Cricetulus griseus: one gene and its partners. The protein of the gene in region 6 interacts with the protein of the main gene of each other region in a pairwise test. Links are inferred from orthologs where the notes say so. Each region holds a gene or a part of one and is shown on either strand. Other genes may lie near its edges.

Evidence for each region.
Region 1: the proteins of cone-rod homeobox protein (region 6) and Gcm2 interact in binary tests that used the Homo sapiens proteins (3 or more experiments, as listed by UniProt). The link is inferred for Cricetulus griseus from reciprocal best matches to the Homo sapiens genes CRX and GCM2.
Region 2: the proteins of cone-rod homeobox protein (region 6) and Ccnc interact in binary tests that used the Homo sapiens proteins (3 or more experiments, as listed by UniProt). The two-hybrid records come from large-scale screens. The link is inferred for Cricetulus griseus from reciprocal best matches to the Homo sapiens genes CRX and CCNC.
Region 3: the proteins of cone-rod homeobox protein (region 6) and Abi2 interact in binary tests that used the Homo sapiens proteins (3 or more experiments, as listed by UniProt). The link is inferred for Cricetulus griseus from reciprocal best matches to the Homo sapiens genes CRX and ABI2.
Region 4: the proteins of cone-rod homeobox protein (region 6) and Larp4 interact in binary tests that used the Homo sapiens proteins (3 or more experiments, as listed by UniProt). The two-hybrid records come from large-scale screens. The link is inferred for Cricetulus griseus from reciprocal best matches to the Homo sapiens genes CRX and LARP4.
Region 5: the proteins of cone-rod homeobox protein (region 6) and Tle5 interact in binary tests that used the Homo sapiens proteins (3 or more experiments, as listed by UniProt). The two-hybrid records come from large-scale screens. The link is inferred for Cricetulus griseus from reciprocal best matches to the Homo sapiens genes CRX and TLE5.
Region 7: the proteins of cone-rod homeobox protein (region 6) and Banp interact in binary tests that used the Homo sapiens proteins (3 or more experiments, as listed by UniProt). The two-hybrid records come from large-scale screens. The link is inferred for Cricetulus griseus from reciprocal best matches to the Homo sapiens genes CRX and BANP.

Annotation. Positions count from the first base shown.
Region 1 is NC_048596.1:260,738,836-260,741,855, forward strand, and holds the end of Gcm2 (chorion-specific transcription factor GCMb), read right to left. Parts: coding exon 3,005-3,020; intron 1,430-3,004; coding exon 501-1,429; downstream 1-500. UniProt on the Homo sapiens protein: Transcription factor that binds specific sequences on gene promoters and activate their transcription. Through the regulation of gene transcription, may play a role in parathyroid gland development.
Region 2 is NC_048595.1:119,717,543-119,721,042, forward strand, and holds part of Ccnc (cyclin-C), read right to left. Parts: intron 2,909-3,500; coding exon 2,824-2,908; intron 2,661-2,823; coding exon 2,591-2,660; intron 1,108-2,590; coding exon 1,056-1,107; intron 1-1,055. UniProt on the Homo sapiens protein: Component of the Mediator complex, a coactivator involved in regulated gene transcription of nearly all RNA polymerase II-dependent genes.
Region 3 is NC_048595.1:414,643,646-414,647,612, reverse strand, and holds the start of Abi2 (abl interactor 2), read right to left. Parts: upstream 2,801-3,967; 5' UTR 2,654-2,800; coding exon 2,537-2,653; intron 1-2,536. UniProt on the Homo sapiens protein: Regulator of actin cytoskeleton dynamics underlying cell motility and adhesion. Functions as a component of the WAVE complex, which activates actin nucleating machinery Arp2/3 to drive lamellipodia formation.
Region 4 is NC_048595.1:396,485,682-396,488,447, reverse strand, and holds part of Larp4 (la-related protein 4), read right to left. Parts: intron 2,322-2,766; coding exon 1,983-2,321; 3' UTR 1-1,982. UniProt on the Homo sapiens protein: RNA binding protein that binds to the poly-A tract of mRNA molecules. Associates with the 40S ribosomal subunit and with polysomes. Plays a role in the regulation of mRNA translation.
Region 5 is NC_048598.1:102,314,988-102,317,140, reverse strand, and holds the end of Tle5 (TLE family member 5), read right to left. Parts: intron 2,134-2,153; coding exon 2,071-2,133; intron 1,621-2,070; coding exon 1,546-1,620; intron 1,430-1,545; coding exon 1,208-1,429; 3' UTR 501-1,207; downstream 1-500. UniProt on the Homo sapiens protein: Transcriptional corepressor. Acts as a dominant repressor towards other family members. Inhibits NF-kappa-B-regulated gene expression. May be required for the initiation and maintenance of the differentiated state.
Region 6 is NC_048602.1:10,446,645-10,450,747, forward strand, and holds the start of cone-rod homeobox protein, read right to left. Parts: upstream 2,801-4,103; 5' UTR 2,774-2,800; coding exon 2,674-2,773; intron 995-2,673; coding exon 843-994; intron 1-842. UniProt on the Homo sapiens protein: Transcription factor that binds and transactivates the sequence 5'-TAATC[CA]-3' which is found upstream of several photoreceptor-specific genes, including the opsin genes.
Region 7 is NC_048596.1:198,640,727-198,644,226, reverse strand, and holds part of Banp (protein BANP), read right to left. Parts: intron 3,240-3,500; coding exon 3,072-3,239; intron 1-3,071. UniProt on the Homo sapiens protein: Controls V(D)J recombination during T-cell development by repressing T-cell receptor (TCR) beta enhancer function. Binds to scaffold/matrix attachment region beta (S/MARbeta), an ATC-rich DNA sequence located upstream of the TCR beta enhancer.

The DNA of each region.
Region 1 (3,020 bases), on a different chromosome or scaffold from region 6:
GGTTGATATCAGCTTTTAACACGATAATAGATATCTTCTGCTATCACCCATACTGTTGGAAAGCTATTTAAGAGGATGCTTGAATAAACTGTGGTCTCCAGACTCAGGAGAGCCCTCCTGAGATGGAAAAAAAAAAAAAAAAGAATAGGAACCTTGGCTAGTAAGCTAAGGGAAGTCAGGCCCATGTGTTACAGGCCTTCAGCTCATTTATGTGTTCATTTGGAAGACTCACACTCCCAATAGCCTATGTGGTGAGGTGGGCTTCAAAATGCTGAGCAAACTCCAGCATCCTGTCTACCATTTCACACTAATATCCTTAGCTTACCCTTATACTAACTCTGTGTGTGTGTGTGTGTGTGTGTGTGTGTGTGTGTGTGTGTGCGCGCACACATAAAATGAAACATACAAAGTGAATTAATCTCAACAATCGGTGGTTGCCCTTTTGCGTGGATTTTCTTGCATGCACTCCATTATCATGGGGTGTGTTCCCTGGAATCCTTCTAAAAGTCTTCACTGTCAAAGTTAAAAGGCTGCCCTGTTCTATCCAAGTAACCTGTCACAGAGTCCACCCCAGACAGACACACATCCCACGCATCTGCTCCATCTGTCCTGAAGGGATCTGTCTCTTGAGGAAAAGCCAGAGTGGGTCTGAGGACCTGGCAATCACCTGGAAGTTTCATGGGGGCTCTCTCCGGAGGAGAGGCTGCCTGCGTGGCTGCATCTGGAGGGCCCAAGGCTTGTGGGTAGATGGGCATTGGGAGGTTCTCAGAGGCATATGTGCAGCTGGCCAGGCTGCTGACCTCCTTCATGCTGTCACTGTGTTTCTGAGCAGGGTGCTGGTACGCCTGGTAGGCCACTGTGGTGGTGATCACGGTCTGCAGGGCCTGGGTTCCTGCTGGTGGCACTGGCAGGTACCTGCAGGGCAGCTCTGGGTTGTAATAAGGGCATGTGGTCACAGCCTGGCATTGCCCATAATCAACTCTCTCTTCAAGGCCAGGTTTTCTGTGTGTAGGTTTCCAGCCATGATATTTAGCTGTGAAATCCAAGCTTCTCTCATAGCTGCCATATGAACTGACATTATATTGTAGTGAGTTTAGATGAACCCAGTCAGTGTCATCAGGGACACTGGAAGAATCTTTATGCAGGGTGGGATACGGACTTGAACCTGTACCCACAGGACCCGCCAATTCATAGCTCCAAGGTGGTCTGGGCAAATAGACTCTTGGATTTGAATAATTCTGAAAGGTCAGCATTGCATCTTCTTGAAAGGTGGCCAGGTCATAGGTGACTCTGTGAACATCAGAGTTTGGGAAGGAAGGGCAGGGCTGCCCTGTAATAGGGAGGCTGGAATCAACAGTCATATCAAGCAGTTCTGTGGCTTCCGGGGCAGGCATGCTATTGAGGTTTCCACTGCAATCCTGAGTGCTTCCTACCTAAAAAAAAAAAAGTCACAAATACAGACTTATGACACACAACACATGCCACCATGACATATAATATGTACATGTTGTGAACACAGTCATCTATACCAACAGCCAACATCATAAATAAAATACACCTGCTGTTGGGTTCTGTATAGTGAACCAGGTCCTGCTAAGATTCACAATTTGGGCCTGGGGTCCAGAAGCTGCTGGTGGATGTGCGGAAACAAGGAAGGTCCCCAATAGTCAGGCAGGGTGTGGCTGAGCAATGGATGCACCTGTTCTCATCCATGTGTTCCTAATAGTGGAGGCCCAGGAGCCACTCAGACCTGCCTTCAAATCCTGTCCCTGTCTCTCCTAACCAAATGGGTGTTTTCTTTCTCTGAATCAGCATTGTACAGGATTTAGTTGCAGCCAGCTCTTCAGAGGGTTTCTGTGACCCTGAAATGCATGAACTCTTAGATCAGCACTTGGCAAGTGGAAGGGCTTGAACAATGCCAGGGTCTGCTCTGCACATGCTCACTGCCTGCTCGGCACGGTTTGGGGGAAATGCAAATGGGATCAGGTTGACTAGGGAAAACTTATCTGTTCCTCCATAAACACTGCTGCTAGTGCTTGGATCTTAAGGATCCTCCAACGTTCCATGTGTTTTAGGCTTGGTCCCCAGTGTGACACCATCAAGAGATGGCGGACTCTTAAAGTGGTGGGATATAGGAGGAGATTGTAGGTCACCGGGGGTGTGTCGTCAGCAGAGTCTGAGCCAGTTGGGAATTGGCTCCCTCTTTTCTTTTTTTCTCTTTAGTTTCAGGTGATGAGGTAAAGAGCATCTCCCATCATGCACTCCTCACCATGATGAACTGCCTTGTTGCTGGCTCTAAAGCAAGGATCACCAGAACCAGATTGCAAACTTCTAAAACCATAAACCCAAACAAATCTATCCTCTCTGAAGGTTTATTGTCTCAAGTATTTTGTTTCAGTAACAGAAAACCAACAAAAATCGTGAAAAACCTTCTCAAGGTCACCCTATTAATTCAGTGTTGATGCACATACAATAGTCCCCCCTTAGCACAATTTTGCTTTTTGAGGTTTCAGTTTTGGTTTAATATCCCCCCCAACCCCCGCCGCCGCCGCCACCCAGTGGAACACTGCAAAAATAAACAGCACGTATAAGTTTAAAATGACTTGAATTATAATGTATGGCTATAATTGTTCTTTTGTTATAGTTTACAAGTTAAACTTTATCATGGTATTGTGTAAGAGAAAGACAGCTACAGAATACAGAATATTCAGGGTGGATTCAGGAAGGCAGTGAGATATGAGAGTGCTCTATATTTATTACTGTGGGACAACTGCCTTTGTACAAGTCAGCAGACATCCTAACGTCATCGCCTGTAGGGATCACTTGCCTATTTTAAAAAAGGGATTAATTAGTGCCCCCAGCCAAGTGTTGATTTAATGATATTTGCAGTTGGTACATGGCATTCATCTTTCAGTTAACTGTCAAGTGAGCACAGACCTTCAGGGGTGTTAGTTCCCGTTAGTTACCTCAGGCTCTGCGGAGCTCCAGGTGGTGTCAGTGCCCATTATCTCAGGCTCTCT
Region 2 (3,500 bases), on a different chromosome or scaffold from region 6:
AGGCATGGTAGCCCACACCCATAATCTCACCAGGAGATTAACAATCCTTCTTGGTAGGTAGAAGCTGGAAAAGCCCAAGTTTCACATAAGACGCTGTCTCAAAAAAAAAAAAATATCATAACGAAAGTAAAAAATGTGTTGTATAGGCTGGAGACTTGGCTTGGCTCAGTGGTTAAGAATTCTTCTTGTTGCTGAGGACCCAGGTTCAATTCCCAGCATCCACAAGGAGGCTCACCACCTCCCTAGGCACCAAGTCCTGTTGGGACCCTGCTGGGTGACCTAAGGTGCCCTTGGAGTTCTCTGTCCACTTCGAGATTAGGCATTCATTTCCCTCCTTCCACCTAGGCCTGTATGCAAACTATCTGCCCATTGCCGAGGGGCTTGGGGACATGGACCTTGGTCTGAGTAAATTTCTACTGTGACAGCTGTTGGTATATAAGTCTACTCCCCTCTGAAATAAACTGGCATTCTCCTTGCAACAATGAGCCACTGTCTTGTCTTTATTTAACCCTCAGATTCCCTTGCCCGAACCTGTGAAATGTTGTAACACTGGCCATTATTACAAAGTACAAATGTTTGCACAGAGACACATCCAGGCAAAACACTCATACACATAAAATAGTAATAATAAATCAAAGAAGAGACATTTTGGGGATGGAGAGATGGCTCAGCAGTTAAGAGCTCTGGCTGCTCTTCAAAGGACCTGGATTCAATTCCCAACAACTACATGGCAGCTCACACCTGTCCATAATCCCAGTTCCAGGGCTTCTGACAGCCTCACATAGGCATACATGCAGGCAAAACACCAATGAACATAAAATAAAAACAACTCCTTTACCTCTACCCTCCTAAGCACTGAGATTACAGGTCTACACCCTACATCAGTAAAAAACATCTTTTCAGACATTTTTTTTTTCCTGTCTAATATGCTAAGGATATTCTTTGGCACTGTAATAAATTCACCTACACTTGGGTCATAAACAAAACAAAATCTGTATGTTACAAAGCCTTCTTTGGATTTCATCTTTAAAGCAGAATACACTTTTTGCACTTACATACAGAAGTAGTAGCAGCGATCAATCTTGTATTTGAGACCACACCAAATTCCTAGAGAAAAGTGAATGAGATCAAGTACTTACTAACCCAGTAAATATTAAAGATATCTGAGATCTATTCAGAAACAGTTTTTCCAAGCTCCTCTCATGTTTACAGTCTGTTCAGTTGCTACCTACTTAATGGATGAAGCATTTAAATTTCTAAATGTATTACCTTTCCTTAAAATTTCAATAATTTGGGTTGGAGTATAGCTCAGAAGTATATTGTATATTGTATATTGCTTATCCAGAATGTTCAATCCTTAGCACAATTAATCAGCCAACCAACCAATCAATAAATAAATGCTGATACTACTCAGAAGACCAAACACCAACAGTTCTGAAAGAATGAAACAGTTATAATGAAATATAAGGCTTTGTAGGTAAGTTATTTTCTTTTCAACCTGATATACTACCATCATAAAATAGCTAAAGTTTATCATGTAATGTACTTAATACTCGCATTTAATTTCAGATAAACCACTTAAGATTCCTAAACCATTCACTTAATATGAATGTAAAAAAAAACAAGAATGGTCCTTTATTTAATAAAACTATTCAAATACCTTTAATTAAAAATCTGTAATCTAAGGGGGGCAGTGGTGATGCCTTTAATCCTAGCACTAGGGAGACAGAGACAGGAGGATCTCTGTGAGTTTGAGGCCATCCTGGTCTATGCCTTAGTTTCCTCATTTATAAAATGGGATGTAAATGTTACAACTCTAAGGGGAAAGACTTCCCTTATGACAGTGTTGACAGTTCTGAAGAGAAGTACCCCCAATGGTGGTATCACAGCTGAGGGGAAAGGCTTACCTAATGCAGGCATTGTCAGCTGAGGGGGAAGGTTTCCTCAATGAAAGTACTACAGCTCTGAGAGGAAAGGCTTCCCCCATAGAAGTGCTGCATGTCTAAAGGGAAAGGCATCCCGGCAATCAGGAGCCAAGGCATTCTACAAAGTCACGCTGCACAACAAACCTCACACAAGAGATTTATTGGGAGGGAAGGAAAACCCAGGAGGGTGGCTGCCTCTGCTTGGATGAGAAGCAGTAGGGAACTGAGTAGAAGGCAGGCTTTATATAGGGTTTCTTGGTGAGCAGAGAATTCCAGGGTAGTATGGAATTGGTGGGATTTTTGTGGCCTGATTTTGTGCAAGCTCAGGGACTGGTGGATTCTTTTTCTTAATCTTGGTCTCAGGTTATTTAAGAGTCAAGGTGTTCTCTCCCTGGCTCTGGTCTCAGATCAAGTCAAGGTCAAGGCCCTTTTACCCTATTGCTATATACTCTACAGTTATAGGATTAAACAAAAACTTATAGTCTCATTAAAGCATCTGATACATAGTAAGTGCCATATTTATTAAATATATAAAATTACTTGCAAGATGTATGTATTATCTTGTATAAATTACCCCTTAAGATTATCCATACAAAGGCAATATAAAAAAAGATTAACTGTACATAATATTATAGGTTGATGAAGAGCAAAAAATTGTTTTATACCTCTACTTTGGATGCCAGAAACACACATGTAGGAGCCATTAATACAGGATCTATACTTTTCAGAGAATACCTAAAACATGATTAGACAAGAGTTAAATTATGTCCATTTAGAAGACACACTGGGTAATCAGGCAATCATAATTCTATAGCAATCAAGTGACTTACTTATATATGGCATATGGAAATCAGAAGAGAACCTCAAACAGGCTAACAAAAAAATAAAACAGCCATACCTGGCATAGAACCTCTTGAAATAGACTGTAGCAGTAGCAATAACCTGTTGTCTTAATTTAAGATGTTCACCTAATGCTTGGATGACTAAAAGGGAAATAATAAAATTTTAATGTTTCACCTGGCACCATTATAGTAACATTAATAACATTAACTTTTAACAGTAATTTCTACATGTTAGAATTATGTCCACTCATAGCTAGGCACTCTCTGACACCCTCTGATCCACAGCTGCCTAAGACTTGCAAATATAGCAACATGCAAAACCAAGAAATAGAAACCACCTACAAGTTATCTTGCTATAAGGAAGTTGACTATCAAATATTCCTTTTAATACTTTTCAGATTATTTTCATAAAAAGTCCTAACTCTTGCAGAAGACCCAAGTTCCATTCCCAGCACCCACATGGTGGCTCACAATCATTTGTAACTCCAGTCCCTAGGGATCCAAGCCTCCTTGTCACTATATAACATATAGTGCACAGATACACATGCAGGCAAAATACCCATACATAAAAAAAAATAAAATTTATTTTAAAAAATACCAGGCAACAAAGCTATCCCAGCAGAGTAAAGGTCTCCTGACTAAACCCCCTTCTTTTTTTTTTGTTTTTTGTTTTTTGTTTTTTGTTTTTAGAGACAGGGTTTCTTTATGGCTTTGGAGGCTGTCCTGGAACTAG
Region 3 (3,967 bases), on a different chromosome or scaffold from region 6:
CAGACAGCATCAGGACCCCTGCTGGTCAGTTCTTGAGTCAAATGTACAGCTGGGTCAGCACAAATCAACTATCACCAGTTCTAGTTATCATGTAAGAAGTGTCACCTGGGAGAGCACAACTGTAATAAATCCAGTGATTCCCACAATAGAGGACAACCTAAGCAATCAAAGTACAAACTCTACTTCAGGTGCTAAATTGAAAACAGATGATTCAAAATTCAAAATCCATTTCTAGGAAATTATTATTTGTGCTTTTACCGTGGGCTCAGAGTATAATTCAGGTAGAGTATATTTTTAACACGCACAAGACCCTAAACTCAATCCCCAACACCAAAAATAAGTACGTAAATAACATACCAATTTTGACACTTCTCTTTCAGCTAGAATTATAAAATTTAAGACAAATGCTGATTTTACACTTTTCCACTAGATCAATTCATGTATGCTTCCCTTTATGTGGCAATTATAATCTAACATAGTAGCATTAATCTTCCAAAGACAGACAAACCTGTTTCTTATTAGTCGGCTACAACTACAATCCTATCACTTTTCCATCCCCCAGTTTCTCTTCTGACAGACACTTTCCCACAATATGCTACATGAGGCAACAGAATTAGCACTTTTAGGTTTGCCTCTCCTAGCAGCTGTGAATCCCTGAAAATAAGCAAAACCTCCCTACCCACAATCCACTACAAAGTATAAATTAACTATACTTGACTTTTCCCTCAGTATCCAATAGGGATCAGTTCTAGAACACCCCCCACACCAACACCACAGCCCCATCCCAACATCTCTGGATACTCAAGTCCTTTACATAAAACTGCATATTTACATGTTATCCATAACACATCCTCCTCCATATTTTAAATCTACAGGTTACCTACAATACCTAATAAAATGTAAATGCCCATTAAGTGTTAACACTATCTTTTAGGGAAAGACAAGAAAAACGTCTCTTTGCATTTATACAGAGGGAGTATTTTCACTGATCAATTTATTGAATCACAAATGTAGGACCCTCCAACAAGAAGGGCTGACGATATATAGTACTAATATGGGTTTAATTCGCTCACAGATCAGCCTCTTGAACTACATTATAAACCCCTGAAGACTTTAGGAGTGTACCATCAACAGTTCTGGGCCAAAGAAGACTGGTGAAGCTAAGCAATAAAACCTTTTAACTCCTACACAGCTCTGTATTAGCAAGTATCTTAGGGTTTTGATTTGTTTTTAAATCAATCTGTAACCAAAGTCACACTTTCTTCCTACTGAACACACATTTTCAACTCCTTCTTTGAAGGGAAAAGGATTCCATTATGTCAGATTCATTCCCCAACACAAATGTTTGCAACAGTAGTAGAGTTCAGTACATGTGTAATCAATGAAAAACCTAATGACATTATCTCTGATTAACCATGTGGTCCCCAGAAAACTTATGAACCTATAAATTATAGAATTTTTAATATATACAATTCATACTAACTACTGAGAATGCTTTCCAATATAACTGGTTACGATAAGGGTATCTGCAGAGATGGGAGTAGGAACAAGAATGTTTAAAAAGGGCTAACAGCTTAACACCCTGCTTCCACTTTATCCAGAGAACATAAACGAGGCACAACCCAAAATTCCGTATATGCCCTACGGAAAACAAGAGATACTGGATTTGAAAATCATTAGTTAATTTTTAAAGCGTTGTTTTAACCCATAAGATTTTTAACATTCATCCATGACCAGCTGGTTCTCATCTCACCAATGTCTTTCCCCCACCTTCTCACCTTCCTACACACACCCACTATGAGTCCCGGTGCCAAAGCAATCATCATGGGAAAAAAACTAAGGTTCATTTTCGTAAATCTTTGTGAAAAATAGTCATAGTTCTTTTTCCCATAGGAAAATGACCTATTCTAACGGGGATTGGGGAGGAAAAGCAGCCCATCATCGGGCAGTTCCCCATTCTCTGTATTGAGAAAAATGCCATTAACTTGTAATAAGGGACGCCGTCCCACTGTGTCCCCTTTACAACCTTAAAAAAAAAAAATTAAACTTAAGGGTTAAGTATTTTTGTTTTGTCTTCAGGGGACATTCCCAGGAAGGGAAAACCGAAGCAATTCACTTTGCAGGAACTGGACCCCTTAAAAGCCCCTGGGAATTGGGCAGGAGGTAACATATCCCTCTATCACACACAACCCGGCCATCCGAGCAGCATTCCGTTATCTACAAAATGCCACTCGCCACCTCCTCCGCCGCCGCCCGGAACCCTGACAGGCGAAGAGTGCGGGGGCAAAGGGGCAGCGATGAGGAGGCGGGCCGCCACACACGCACGCACCGCACCGCGGACCCGCACGGGGCTTCTGGGGCGTTCCGCCGAGCCCGCTTCCTCCCGCCGCCGCCGCCGCCGCCGCCGCCCTCGCCCGTCCCCACCCCGGCGCGGCTCCCCGGGCCGAGCACCGCGCGGCCTCCTCAGGCGGCGGCGCCCCGCGCGCCCCGCACACTCCCGCGACCTGACGCGCTCAGCCGGGGGGACGCGACGCACCTGGATGTAGTTGTTCTCGCAGTAGTCGGCCACCCGCTCCAGATTCGTGTAGCTGTCGAAGAGGGCCCGGCGGCCCCCCGGGATTTCCTCTTCCAGCAGCATCTGCAGCTCCGCCATCTTCACATCCTCCTCCTCCTCCGCCTCCTCATACAGCCCGCAGAGGCAGCGGCCGCGACGCCTGAGAGAGGAGGAGCAGCGGCGAGCGCGGCGGGAATCGGGAGGAGCGAGCGGCACCCCCAGCGCGCGGCGGGGAGGGCGGGAGGGGGCGGGGGACGGAGGCGGGGGCGCGAGCCGGCGAGAGCCGCGAGGACGGTCACCGCGGCGACGGGCGGGCGGGCAGCGCGGGCACGCGCACGCGCGCTCCCCTCCCTCCCTCCGCCCCCGGGCTCCCGAAAAAGATTCCCACCCGCGCCGCCCCTCCCCCACTTCCGGCGTCTCCTAGCGACGGCAGGCGGGGGCCGGGATGCGCGCGGGAGCCGGGCTCCGGGTTAACCCTTCGGCCCCGCGCGGGCTTCCCGGCTCTGGAAGTCCCTCCGCTGCCTTTGTTAGCCCGGCGGGAATGCGCCGCCGCCGCCCCCATCCTTCACCTCGGTGCTATCCGCCCGAGGAAGCTCTCCAGGCCCCTCCGGAGGCCTAGGGAGGGCACGTTCACTCACACACCCTCTGTGAGAGGTCACACTTCATCAGGGCAGCCAGAGCCACTGAACTTCCAGGTAGCTCTAAATGCCACCTTGGACCTCATCCTCTCCTTTACAAAGTAAATTGCAGTCACCTAATCCCAAATCTGTTCATCATTCATTCATTCACTCATTCATTCATTCGTATTCCAGGTCTCCCTCTCTCCTATCTTTTTTGCAAAGTCTCCCCGAAGTAGACCAGGCTGGCTGAAATTACAAGTATATGTATGCTGTGGTTGCCCAGACTGGAGCTCCTCCTCTTTCTTGACTTTTTTTTCCCAAATTTTCGATGGTGGTTTTGCTGGTACTAATTTCATTATTCATATGGTTTGGGCATGAATAAAATTAAATGAGCGCACATTGAAAGATGTTTAATTAATACAATTCAAGGTAGTTCAACCTGATCTTGCTTGTAATCCAGATGTCAAATCTTTTTTCATAAATATGATTACCCCACATGGTGAAACTTGAAAAAAATAAAATAAAACTGGCATCTTCTGAGATATTGAGGTCACTTTTATTTGTTCTGTGGAAAACCCAAAGGGTACCATCTTAGAGGGTAGTTCAGGATTTGTGGCTTCAGCCTTTTATTGCTCTTGCGGTCACTGGCCCTTCTGCAATCAGTTTTCAGATGGATGAGGAAACAATTATACATTCCTTAAAAAAAAATAAAATGCATACCATCACACATTTGTGGAGTAAACCCTGTGTTGTTTCATTAGCTTTTGATAAATACTTTACCAATATGTGTGAA
Region 4 (2,766 bases), on a different chromosome or scaffold from region 6:
ACTAATCGTTTCCAACTGAGCAAATATACCATGTTACCAACCCACCAAACCATAAGCGATTGCCAAGCTAAATAAATTACAAAGAAATAATAATTGCAGGTTACACAAATTGTGCAGTGTTTTCAAAGCTCTTAGGAATTACCCACTAACACAAATCTCTGACACTTAGGAGTTGGAAGATCAGTTTCACAGTAATATAACTTTAACTTCCATTTACATTCATTTTAAATATATTACTACGATGTTTATGTCACAATGGTGCTTTCCAGTGTCCACAATTTACAGTTTCAATTTGTACATACGTAACTCACTAATGTAAGGGACAGTTCTTACTACTGTAACTATCCCTAAGCAGAAAAATAAACCACCACCCTACATACAACTATAAAAATGGTATGACTTCAAATAGATCAATCCAACATGGTTTTTCATATTTGAGCTGTTTTCTAAATATCAGTATGTAAACTTGCCTATTTAATATATGACAGCTATAACTTTATTCACTGAGAAATTATGCATTTATTTTCCTCAACCATTTTTCTCACTTTATCTCAAAAATTTCTTGACTTGCTGTTTTTAGTCAGTGAATAACAAACTGTATTTCTTGGTGGGGAGGGGAAAAGATGACAAACACTGTAAAAAGAAAAAGAAGCCTCCCCAAATTAATTCTTAAATTTTTTCTCTTTTATATCATTTTAAAAAGTCAGTTACATTGCTTAATCTTTCTTTTTTTGAGACAGGGCCTCTCACTAGGTAGTTCTGGATGGACTGTATTTCATGTAAACCAGGTGGGCCTAGAATTTAGATGCACCTGCCTTTGCCTCTGAAGCTGGGATAGAGATGTGTTTGTCTCCCCATCTAGAAGCACTTTTCTTTTTTAACACCAATACAAATAAATTAATGGCAGGCCAGTACCATCCTGCATCCTAAAATTCTAATTTCTTTGATAGAAGAATAAAATTTTTCAATAATCCATTATAACGTTTAGGTTAGATATATGATTTGATTAAGCTGGTCAAAGTAGTGAGAAACCACAATCCAGGAAATGGTTGGTTATTTTGGTTCTGGGGGTGAAGAGTCAAAGAACAGAGACTAACAAACAAGTAAAAAAAAAAATTGTCTTCCATTTTAAAGAGGATTAAAAAAAAAGTCATAGGGCAGTTTGAACCTCTGAAATTGATTTGACCTATCCAGTATTCAGGTCTAGAACAGAATTTCTCAATTTCTTTTGAATCATCTCTATCCTTTTCTTGAATATCAGACTGATTGGTAGTCACAGCTTCACACACAATCAGAGCTTAATAGCTAGCTCAGTACAATACAATATTAGTAATGTCAAAAAACAAACTAAATTCCAAACTACAAAAAGATCTACTCAAGTATTACATTCAGTTTTCAAATCATTTACTAACATGACAACATATTTGGCTTCAATCACTTTGCACACACTCACACCCAGAACAGACACCTCAGCTACTGACCTGCTCTGCAACACAAGGCCATTTGTCAGAGATGGCATTTTTCAAGCCAAACTTTAAATAGATTAAAAAAAGTAATTTCTAATTTTTACAGAAATGTTTCTTCAAAAAATATTTTCTCTCACTCCCTCATCTCCTATACTGAAGGATGTATAATGTTTTTTGTTTTCTCTCCCAAGCTAAATCTGAACCCTCAAAATTGATTCCAGGCAGAAATCCCTGCAAATTAAAATCAAAAACAAAAATAGAAAAATTATATTTATATATATGTGTGTGTATATATATATATATATTTATATATATTTATACTGATTGGAATCCTCCAGCATTTGAAAATCACTTAGAGATGAATTTTGGGCTCCTCTTAAAATTCCAAAATCCATAATATTTAAGGACATACTTCCCATCTTTCCTGGCTACTTCCTCCCTTCAAAACAGTTCAATATAGGCTCAAGTTTAGTGGGAAGAGAGAAGTTTCTGAGTAGTTTTTGTTATGTTTTGCTTTTACTTTGGTGATCTGGGTGGCACGAACTGCTCTTTCCCATTACGTCGAGTCATTCCCTGAGGTGTAGCCCTATGGCTAAACTGGCGTCTCTGTTCCCTGATTTTTCCAGCTGCTCCCCGGGGAATGGTATTGCCTCGGAAGCCAGAATGATCCTTACTAGCCCTTGTTTCTGGTTTCTCGTGTGTTTTTTCCACAGGCTTCTCGGGTGCTCCATTCTCTTCGTTTCTGGTGGGAGATACAACATTGGATCGCAGTTCCCGCAGTGGTTGTACAAGCACTGGAGATGGCTCCTTAGGAGGCTTCTGACATACTTCAGCGTAACTTAACTTTCGAGGTTCCTTTAAAAAAAATAAAATAAATAAATAAATATGGTGAATATTTCACTGAAGGATAAATAAAGTATTAGCTTTAACCAGAAGGACAGTAATAAATTACTATTTAGGAAAGGAAAGTATGTATTCTCATAGTACTCTATAGTGCATATTTGGAATTTCTTTGGAATCTCTCTAGAATTTTTTACTTAAATTAAAAATCATCATCATCATCATCATCATCATCATCATCATCATCATCATCATCATCATCAGTAATTTTTTCAAGGTCAGGAACTCAACTTTGTAGACCAGGCTGGCTTTGAACTCAGAGATCCTATTGCCTTTGTCTCTTGAGTGCCGGAATTAAAGATATGTGCCACCCCTGCTGGGTCCCTATTAATCATCATCATCATCATCATCATCATCATCATCATCATCATCATCATCATCATCGTTATTGTGTGTGTCT
Region 5 (2,153 bases), on a different chromosome or scaffold from region 6:
TTGAGGAGTTCCAGGCCAGCCTAGGCTACTCAGAGAGACCATGTCTCAAAAAATAAGCAACAAAAACAGAGCCATAAGATGGCCCCACCAGTAGAGGTGATTACAGTGAAGTTCAATACCCTAAGTTCAATTCCCAGGCCCACATGGTGGAAGAGACACCTGCAAGGTGTCTGCAAGGCATCTGACTGATCAACACAGAGGCAACAAACCAGTAAATGCAAAAAAAATTAAAACAAGTGGAGATGTGTGCCAGGGCCTCCCCAGAGACAGCCTAGCTTGGAAGAGATACAGGAAGCACTCAGGCCATCTCTGGGAGGGTAAGCAGGGTTTAGTGACTCTCTGTGGGTGCCACAGCCACCTCTGCTCACAGCTGTATTGTGTGCCCCCCATGTCCATAGTTCACCCTCTGGGCCCTTGCTTGAGGGATCTTTGTCTTGGGACGGGGGCGTCCTGAGGAAAGGGGTCCCCACCCCACAAGACAGAGGCAGGGACACAGTGGCCAACCTTTTCATGTTTTTATTTCAAAGGCACAGCTAGACCCCAGCCTCAGTACAGCAATCTCCCTTCTCTCGGGGAGACCAAGACTACGCACCAAAGCTAACTATATACACAGACACGCGTGGGGCTTCGGTCTTTTTTTTTTTTTTAAATCCCCTTTCTTAGAAGACAAGCTATATAATACCAGGGCAAAAAGGAACAATAAACAAACCAACTTCAGAACCCTCACGTTTATTTGGGGAAGGGGAGAAAGGAAGTTTTTGGGTGCCCACCCCCACTGCAGTCCCCGTGCCTTCGAGTCACTTCCTCTCTGTCCCCTTCTTTCGTGGGCAAGGGGACCAGGCTGGGTGATTGGGGGGGGGGTTGTCTGGGCCTAGCAGGTGTGCAGTGCGGGAAGCAGAGAGAGAAGGGGTCAGGACCAGACTCTGGGTGTGCAGGGTGGAAAGGGGCAGCTAGCGTTGCGTTGTGTACATTCTGGGCCAAGATTGGTGGCTGTGGCCCGGGTAAATGTGGAGGTGGGGGATTTCTTGCGGCTCCCTGTAGCCTGGGGTACCTCTCTGGAGTCCCCTAGACCCGGGGTGCACAGCAAGAAGGCCGGAACCAGGACTGGGGGTGGAAACTTGGGTAGTGACCGAGCTGTGTGCTGTGTGGCCCTCGGAACACCGTGACCTATCTGTGCCTGTCTCCCCTGTGTCCTCCTCCCCAGGAGCTAGTCCGACTTCTCGCCATCATCCTCCTGGTGAGTGTCCCCATCGTGTCCGTTCTTGTCCTCCTTAGAGAGGTGGGTTTGAGAGCCCAGCGCTGACAGTGACAGCAGGCCGGTGCCCGCGCTGACCGCAGGGAGCGATGGCGGCTGGAGCCCCACGGGAAGCGGTGTCAAGGGCAGAGCCAGGGCCTGAAGCTGGGACAACTGGTGAGCCTGGAGCTGCTGCTGCAGGATGGGGGAGGGGGGGCAGGGTCAGCCCAGGGCCCACCTGGGTGCCGCATCTCCTGTTATTAACCCACCGGGGGTCACCTATCCCATGCTCACCCAGGGCTCCAACTTACTCGGATGATGGAGTTTAGCTCGGGAGCCGTGACCTGCTTGGCTCTCTCGATGGCTCCCAGGACCTGCTGCTGATGCTGTAATAAGCAAGGGGAGGAGACAGAGGGGGCTTAGTGACTGTTCCCTCAGGCAAAGGGACAATCAAGTGGGATTGATGAAAAGAAATTGGGGGGGGGGCTTCTGTGCAGCGGGCAACTGCTGTAATGACAGGGAAGTCCTGTCCTAGGGACTCAGGGGACAGTGGGAGGATGATGGAGTGGGGGTGGGGCCTGGGATAGGCAGGGCTAGGAATCCAGCTTGGGGGATTTCCTCTGAAAGCTAGTCTGCAGGAGCCACCTGCCCACCTGGGTCCCCATCATCTGACCCCACCCACAGGGGTTCCCCTTTATGCCTTGATGTAAGTAAGCCTGTCCTGCTGCGGCAGCTTCTCTTTGATGAGTTCAGAGAAGGCAGGCAGACTTGTGCCCTGGGGGCACCCAGCAAGGGGCAGATGGAACCCCAAGGCCCCCTGCTGGTGGCTCGCTTACCTCCTGTGACAAATAGGGCAGAACCTGGGCGCAAATCCCATTCAGCCTCTTCACGATTTCAGCCTGGAACACACATGATTTCC
Region 6 (4,103 bases):
GGAGACAGCAAGACTGGCAGATCTCTGTGAGTTCAAGGTCAGCCTGGGTCTAGAAAGCAAGTTCCAAGACATCCAGAGCTGTTACACAGAGAAACCCAGTCATGGAAAACAAAATATAGTTTTAAGATTAAAAACAAATAAAAAAAATCCAGGCAGGGGTGGCACTCTTTTAATCCCAGCACTTGGGAGGCAGAGGCAAGCAGATCTCTGAGTTCGAGGCCAGCCTGGTCTACAGAGTCAGTTCCAGGACACTGAGAACCCTGTCTTTGTTTTTTTGTTTTTTTTTTTTTTGGTGGGGAGGGGGGGTTCGAGGCAGGGTTTCTCTGTGTAGCTTTGGAACCTGTCCTGGCACTCGCTCTGGAACCAGGCTGGCCTCGAACTCACAGAGATCCACCTGCCTCCCGAGTGCTGGGATTAAAGGCGTGCGGCACCAATGCCCGGCTGCTACTTCATAATTGTGACTGTTACTCTGTGGCCTGTCTTTCCTCCACTCATTCTGGATCTAATAAGGACCCATCGAAGATCATAGTAAGGGACTTGGCGGTGATGTCACACGCCTTTATTCCCAGCATTTGGGCGGCAGAAGCAAGTAGATCTGAGTTCAAGGCCAGCCTGGTCTACAAAGTGAGTTCCAGGATAGACTCCTGAGAAACCCTGTCTCAAACAGGAGGAGGAGGAGGAGGAGGAGGAGGAGGAGGAGGAGGGGGAGGAAGAGGAAGAGGAAGAAGAAGAAAAAGAAGAAAAAGGAGAAAAAGAAAAAGGAGAGAGAGAGAGAGAGAGAGAGAGAGAGAGAGAGAGAGAGAGAGATCACAGTAAAGCAGCAGAGTTCCAGAACATCCTACCTGGACCCTGGACTCAGGCAGGTTGATCTTGAGAGCCACCTCCTCGCGTGCATACACATCCGGGTACTGGGTCTTAGAGAACAGGGCCTCCAGTTCCTCCAGCTGGCTTCTGGTGAACGTGGTTCTCTCCCGCCGCTGCTTCCTAGGGGCGCCTAGGTTTGGGAGAATGAAAGAACCCTCAGGTTAGCTGGGTCTGCTCGCTGGATGCCCTGATCCAGTGGGACACCAGCCCTGTCCTTTCTGCCCAGACAAGGGGCTGTGTTTATTCCCCGGCCTTCTAGCACCGGCTCAAGTCTCCAGAGCTTTCCAGTCAAATGTCCACAGGAGGGAACTGCTTTTAGCCCTGCAAGGATTTGCCCCTTTTTGTTCTCAATTCTCTCCAACCTCCTTTCCCTCCTCCGCCCTCTTCCTCCTCTTCCTCTCTCTTCTCCCCTTCTCTTTCATTACACTATGTAGCCCATACCGACCCTAAAATCCTGGGATTGCCTGGTCCTCCTACCTCAGCCTCCCAAATAGCTGGGAGTTCAGGCAGGAGCCACTGCACCAGACTCCGCTCCTGAACCTTATTATTCATAAAAACATATTCATGGCCAGGCAGTGGTGGCGCACGCCTTTGATCCCAACACTCCGGAGGCAGAGTTCGGGGCCATCCTGGTCTACAAAGGGAGTTCCAGAACAGGCTTCAAGGCTACACAGAGAAACCCTGTCTCAAAGAACCAAAAAAAGGCCTGGCATTGGTGGCGCACGCCTTTAATCCCAGCACACGGGAGGCAGAGGTAGGCGGATCTCTGTGAGTTCGAGGTCAGCCTGGTCTACAAAGCGAGTGCCAGGATAGGCTCCAAAGCTACACAGAGAAACCCTGTCTCAAAAAAACAAAAACAAAAAAAGAAAGAAAGACACATTCGGTAGAAACATGTTGTTAAAAACCAAGCACTTCAGCCCATAAAAGCGATGTCTCTATGACTCAATATAAAAGAAAGAAGGTGGGCTAGCAAGACTGCAGTGTCAATTATGTACAAGCCTGAAGACCTGAGTTCAGTCCCTGGGACCCACAAGGTAGAAGGAAAGAAATGACTCCCAAAAGTCATCTCAGACCTCTGCAAGACAGCCGTGGCTCCTGCTTTCCATCCTGCATGCAAAAACTCATGCAATCGTTTTTTTATTCTCTAAACAAAAAAAAAAAAAAAAAAGGTGGCTCCTGCCTTTAATCCCAGCACTCGGGAGACAGAGGCAGGAAGATCTCTGTGAGATCAAGACCAGCCTGGCCTACAAGAGCTAATTCCAGGACAGCCTCCAAAGCTGCAGAGAAACCCTGTCTCAACAAAACAAAAGAAAAAAAAAATGTGGTCTACATAGTGAGTTTCAGGCCAGCCATGGCTACATAGTGAGAATTTGTCTCAAAAATGAACGAAGGAGGAAAAAAAAGAAAGAAATAGAAAAGAGAACTGTTAAATAAGTACCATAGTACAGCATGATGGTGCAGGACTATAATCCCAGGCCTCTAGAGACTGAACCAGGAGGCTGGGGGTGTGGCTCCATGGTAGAGCCCCCTGCTTAGAATCCCAGAGTTGAAGGGCTGGAGGCGTGGCTCAGTGGAAAAGCACATGCCTAAAACCCCCCAGTGAGGGTGACTCACAGCTCCATAGTAAAGTACTTGCCTAGAATCCAAGAAAGCCCTGGATTCCAGCCCAACAAGCTCTACTCCAAAAATAAGAGACGGAGACAAAGAAAAGATAGTACCGTGGTCATTAGAATGCTCACTTCTTTTAGAAATAAAGTTTTACAGACTGATGGAAAAACAAGACAGAGATGGGAAGAGGAGCACACTTACTTGAGTATGGGACTGCCTGGTGCATCAGGTCCACACTGGGGCCATTCAGAGCCAAGGCATTGACCGAATAGTGAGGTCCCGGGTTCATATACGCCATCATGATCTTCTGTGACTGGGACCCAGATGGGGGCACCTACAAGAGAAAGGGGTGTTCACTCTTCCCACTGCCAGGGCACTGACAAATTGATACTCACATCCTGTTCAGGGGCTCTTCTCAGGAACCATTCTCACCAGTAATCCAATCTCGTCTCTCTCTTTCTCTTTCTCCCTCTCGTTTTTTAGAATCCAAGTGTTGGCTATGGTACATTCATTTAATTCCTTAAACACTCACACTGGTGAGACAGAGGCAGGCAGATGACTGTGAGTTCAAGACCAGCATGGTCTACAGAGTGAGTTTCAGGACCTTAGAATATAGCTTTAGCTGTCCTGGAACTCCTAATTGTTTGTTTGTTTGTTTTGTTCTGTTTTTCCGAGACAGGGTTTCCTCGGTTGCCTTGGCTGTCCTGGAACTCACTCTATAGTCCAGGATGGCCTCAAACTCAGAGATCCACCTACCTACCTCTGCCTCCAGAGTGCTGGGATTAAAGTATGCACCACCCTTCCCGGCTCTCAATTTGTAGACAAGGCCACAATACCCAACTCAAAAAGAAAAGAAATGTTTTGCCAGGTGGTGGTGGCACACGCCTTTAATTCCAGCACTTGGGAGGCACAGGTGGGTGGATCTTTGTGAATTCAAGGCCAGCCTGGTCCACAGAGCCAGTTCCAGGACAGCCAGAGCTGTTACAGAGAAACCCTGTCTGGAGGGCAGGGGTGGGGTGGGGGGTTCTTTTTGGTTTTGTGCAACAGGGTTTCCTGTTGCGGGCTGACCTGACATTAAACTAGCCAAGGTTGATTTGATATTTCTGACCCTCCTGTCTCCACCGCACAAGTGCTAAGACTCTAGACATTAGCCATCACTCCAAGTGTGGGGCAGGTATGTGTATAGAAGCAGAGGGGAGGCCAAAATTCAACCCCAAATTTGTCCATCAGGCCACCTCATATTTTCATTTCATTAGTTTATTTTATTTTTGAAAGGTCTTATATACCTCGGGTTGGCCTTAAATTTACTAAGTGCCTGAGGATGACCTTGAACTCCCGATCCTCTTATTTCCACCTTCCGGGTGCCAAAATCACAGGTCAGCACCACCATACCTGGATTATATGGTGCTGGGTACTGAACCCAGGTCTTCACCAATGCTCGGACACACACTCTACCTAATAAGCTACGTCCCCAGTTCCCACCTTGGTTTTTTGTTTTTGTGTGTGTGTTTGTGTGTGTGTGTGTGTGTGTGTGTGTGTGTGTGTGTGTGTGTGTGTGTGTGTTTTGTTTTATTTGTTTTGGTTTTGGTTTTTCAAGACAGGGCTTCTCTGTGTAGCCCTAGCTGTCCTGG
Region 7 (3,500 bases), on a different chromosome or scaffold from region 6:
ATATTTTTAAGTGAAAAAAGTGAATTCATTTGCAGTATTTTGTGGTGGTCCCTTGTCTCTGCTAATAATTCAATGGTAACAAGGCAACCCAGCTGGAATTAATACCAATTCCAAATTAACAGAATTCTGGCTTAATTACATTTTACCATCACCAAAATAGCCTTGAATACCAGAATAGTTTTGCTAAGGCAACAGCAGATGCAGACAGAACAAAGACAAAGATTCCAAAAGTCCCTTGGCTTAACCACCCACTCTGCTTAATCAGATCTTTGCCAACAAATGTCTCCTCATCATCAGTTTACAAAGCAGTGAACTGTCACCAGACCCCATGGATGCTGAGTGGCAAGGACAGCCCAGGCCCTCTTCTGAAAGCAAGTGCCTGTCTTGATGATGAGCCATGACCTGAAACTATATCTACTATCTCACAGGCAGCTCTGAGCTAGTCCCAAACAATACATACCCAAAGCCACCAGAAGATGATTACAGTAATCATGCCTCATGGTGTTCTTGAGCCTCCTGACTCCCATTCCCAGCCACATGTTCTCTTCTACTCCAAACAAAAACCACAGAACAGGGTCAGCACTGTTCTCACTCAATGATGTCCAATGGCAGGAGGATAGAGACCACAGGTCAAACAGGACAAAAGAACAGCCACCTGGCAGTGCCTTCTGGGAATGATGCCTCAGTCAGACACATACTACAGGGTTTGTCCATTGCCCAGCAGTCACAGCTGCCAGAACTCCTCAAACATGCCATTCCTGGGGACCTTTTCAGAATCTGGGCAATTAATACACTGCACAGTGGCTAACTGCCCACACAAGAAGCCAGCATCCATAGCATCTTAAAGAAGCTGCCACTATGTTTATAAACAGAGTATCAATAAATAAGCAAATAAATAAAGCAGCTAGCTACTAATTATAAAAAGAAAAAATTTGGAAATTAAAAAATGGAATACAAATACCATCATGCTCAGCTACTGTCAAGCAGTGGAAAGAAACACAAATAACTAGAAGAGCCCAACCACTAATAAGTAAGTAAGCCTGCAGGAGCCACAGAAACAGGCACAAGTACCTGAGTCTCCACTGTTGTTGGCTTCAAGACCAGGACCAAACTGTGAGAGATTTGGGGTGCGACCTGGCTCATCAAGACACTGTCCAATAACTCTACTTGACTATAATTCCTTACAAGTCCTAGATAAACAGCCAGCTTCAGCTGCATGAAACGCAGGCCCTGGAAACTGTTCCCTCATGTTTCATCTCTAACTCTACTTGGCAATTTTTTTGAAAATCTTATTTCTTTCCTTGCTACTACATTTCTATTCCTCTTTTAAGTCCTTGAACATAACTTTACTTAACATTTTAGTGCCATGGGCTGTTAATTCCAGGCAAGGCCTCCTTAGTCACTAGGGGTTTTTTTGTTGTTTTTTTTGTTGTTGTTGTTGGTTGGTTGATTGGTTGGTTGGTTGATTTCGGTTTTGTTTGTTATCTGTTTTGGTCATAGGTCATATTTTTCCTGTTTCTTGGTATTGGGTCTGAAACCTTGTGAATGTACCCAGATTAGGTGTCTAGATTTTGTTGTCTTCCTATTAAACTGATGAAACCTGTGGCCCAGTGTGATCTTCTCAGGTTGTCTTTAAGTTCTGACTTTGAATGGCAGGAGGGACGGCTCAGCAGTTAAGACCACTACTACTTTTTCGGGGGACCTGGGTTCAGTTCCAGCCCCCACATGGTAGCTCACGACCATCCATAACTCCAGTTCCAGGGGATCTGACGTACTCTTTTTATCTCATCCAGCACCAAGCATGCATATGTTGCATAGACTTACATGCAGGCAAGAGACAATGCGCATACACAGACACACACACACAAATAAATATTTAAAAAAAACAAAAACAAAAACAAAAGCAAAACAAACAAACAAAAAAAACCATCTTTTCTCTGGGGAAAGCACACCCAGGGCCCTCTAGTTCTCTCCCAAAGTTGGACCTGTCTCCTGGGCTTTTTGCTCTGGCTGGTGAGCATCTGGATGCCTGTTCAGCCCAATGTGAGCTTGGGCACACTGGCTAAGAATCCCAGCTACTATTCACTGCAAGCATGTTCAGCTCAGAAAACAGCAAGAATCCAAGGGAACTCTGTGTCACATGGGACCACATTTCTAAGTTCAGCAGGTTCACTACTTGGGCTCTCACAGCAGCACCAGTCTGCCTCCTCAACTGTTAATTCGGCTGTATACTTCCCAGAGGCCCCTTGCTTCTTCAGGTTCCAAACTGTGCCTTGGGAGGCATGCTGAATTGAGGACAGGCATGCCAGCTCCCTGTTCTCGGACAGGTGTCACTTTAGGAACCTTGGCAACAACTAGAGCTAAATTTCTGATAACCACCAAAATAAGAGAGGAAGATGGTCAAGGAGGGCTCCAGGTGACTAGCTTTGTAGCTTCCAAAACAAAGTCCCTGGACAAAGCCTGTACTGAGAGGGAGCCCTGCCAGCCCCCTGCCCACTGCTGCTCTGGGTCCTGAGCTGACCCCCAAACAGGACTCAGCTTTCAGGAGCTACTGCTATTGCCAAGAAAGCCATGAAAAGGAGTTTAAAAGACTATTTTAGGGTTGAGAACATAGTTCAGTGCAAAGTACTAGAGCCAAGATCGTCCAAGACCCTCAGGCACAAGTCCTAGCACTAGAATAATGAGAGGGGGGCAGGCCCATGGGTAGAGCTCAGAGAATTTGTCTCAGTGATCTTGAGAACAAGCCTGAGTCTACAACCTCAAAGTAAAACTAAAGAGCAGCACAATGTAGGCCCTCCACCTTCACCTACAGCCATGCTGCAAGTAACAGTAATTACTTTTAAGGCTGTGGAACACTCAGGTGATGAGTAATCAGGCAACATAAGGTAGATCCAGCACAAACTCTTCTTGTTGGACCTACAAGGTAAGATATGCAGGCCTCATGCTCTTGCCACTGTCTAGGGAGCTCCCAAAAGGCCAGCCTCACACTGAGTGGGGCCAGAATTAACGAGCTCCCTGGCTGCACTCTCCATGAGAACAAAGGCTTCAGGGCAGCCATCTCCTGGGCATACCTGAGGCACTATATGAGGATGAGGACGGTGTCCTCCGGGAGAAGCTCTTGACTGCCAGGCTCTGGCCTCGCTGCTTCCGCCGCCATGCAGTACGGCACTTGGAGTCAATACTCTGCTTGATGCGATACCAGTCAGATTCCGTGATTCCAAATTTATAGAAGAGGTGACCTGAAAGAACATGTCCCAGATAAAAGCTATCAGATGCAGGATTTGACCTAGGCCCCTCCTGCTGAGAGCACCAAACACAGAAGCTGAGTGCTGCTAAGAGACCTAGCTGACCTGCTGGCATACTCCTGGAGGGCTGATTCATCCCCCAGAAAAGAAGCCAGAAAATCTAACTACATGAGGGAAGAGTCACTCAGGTCACTAGGTCAGCAGGAACAGATGCAAATACTTATCATTCTTCTTGTCTATTTAACCTTTAAATAA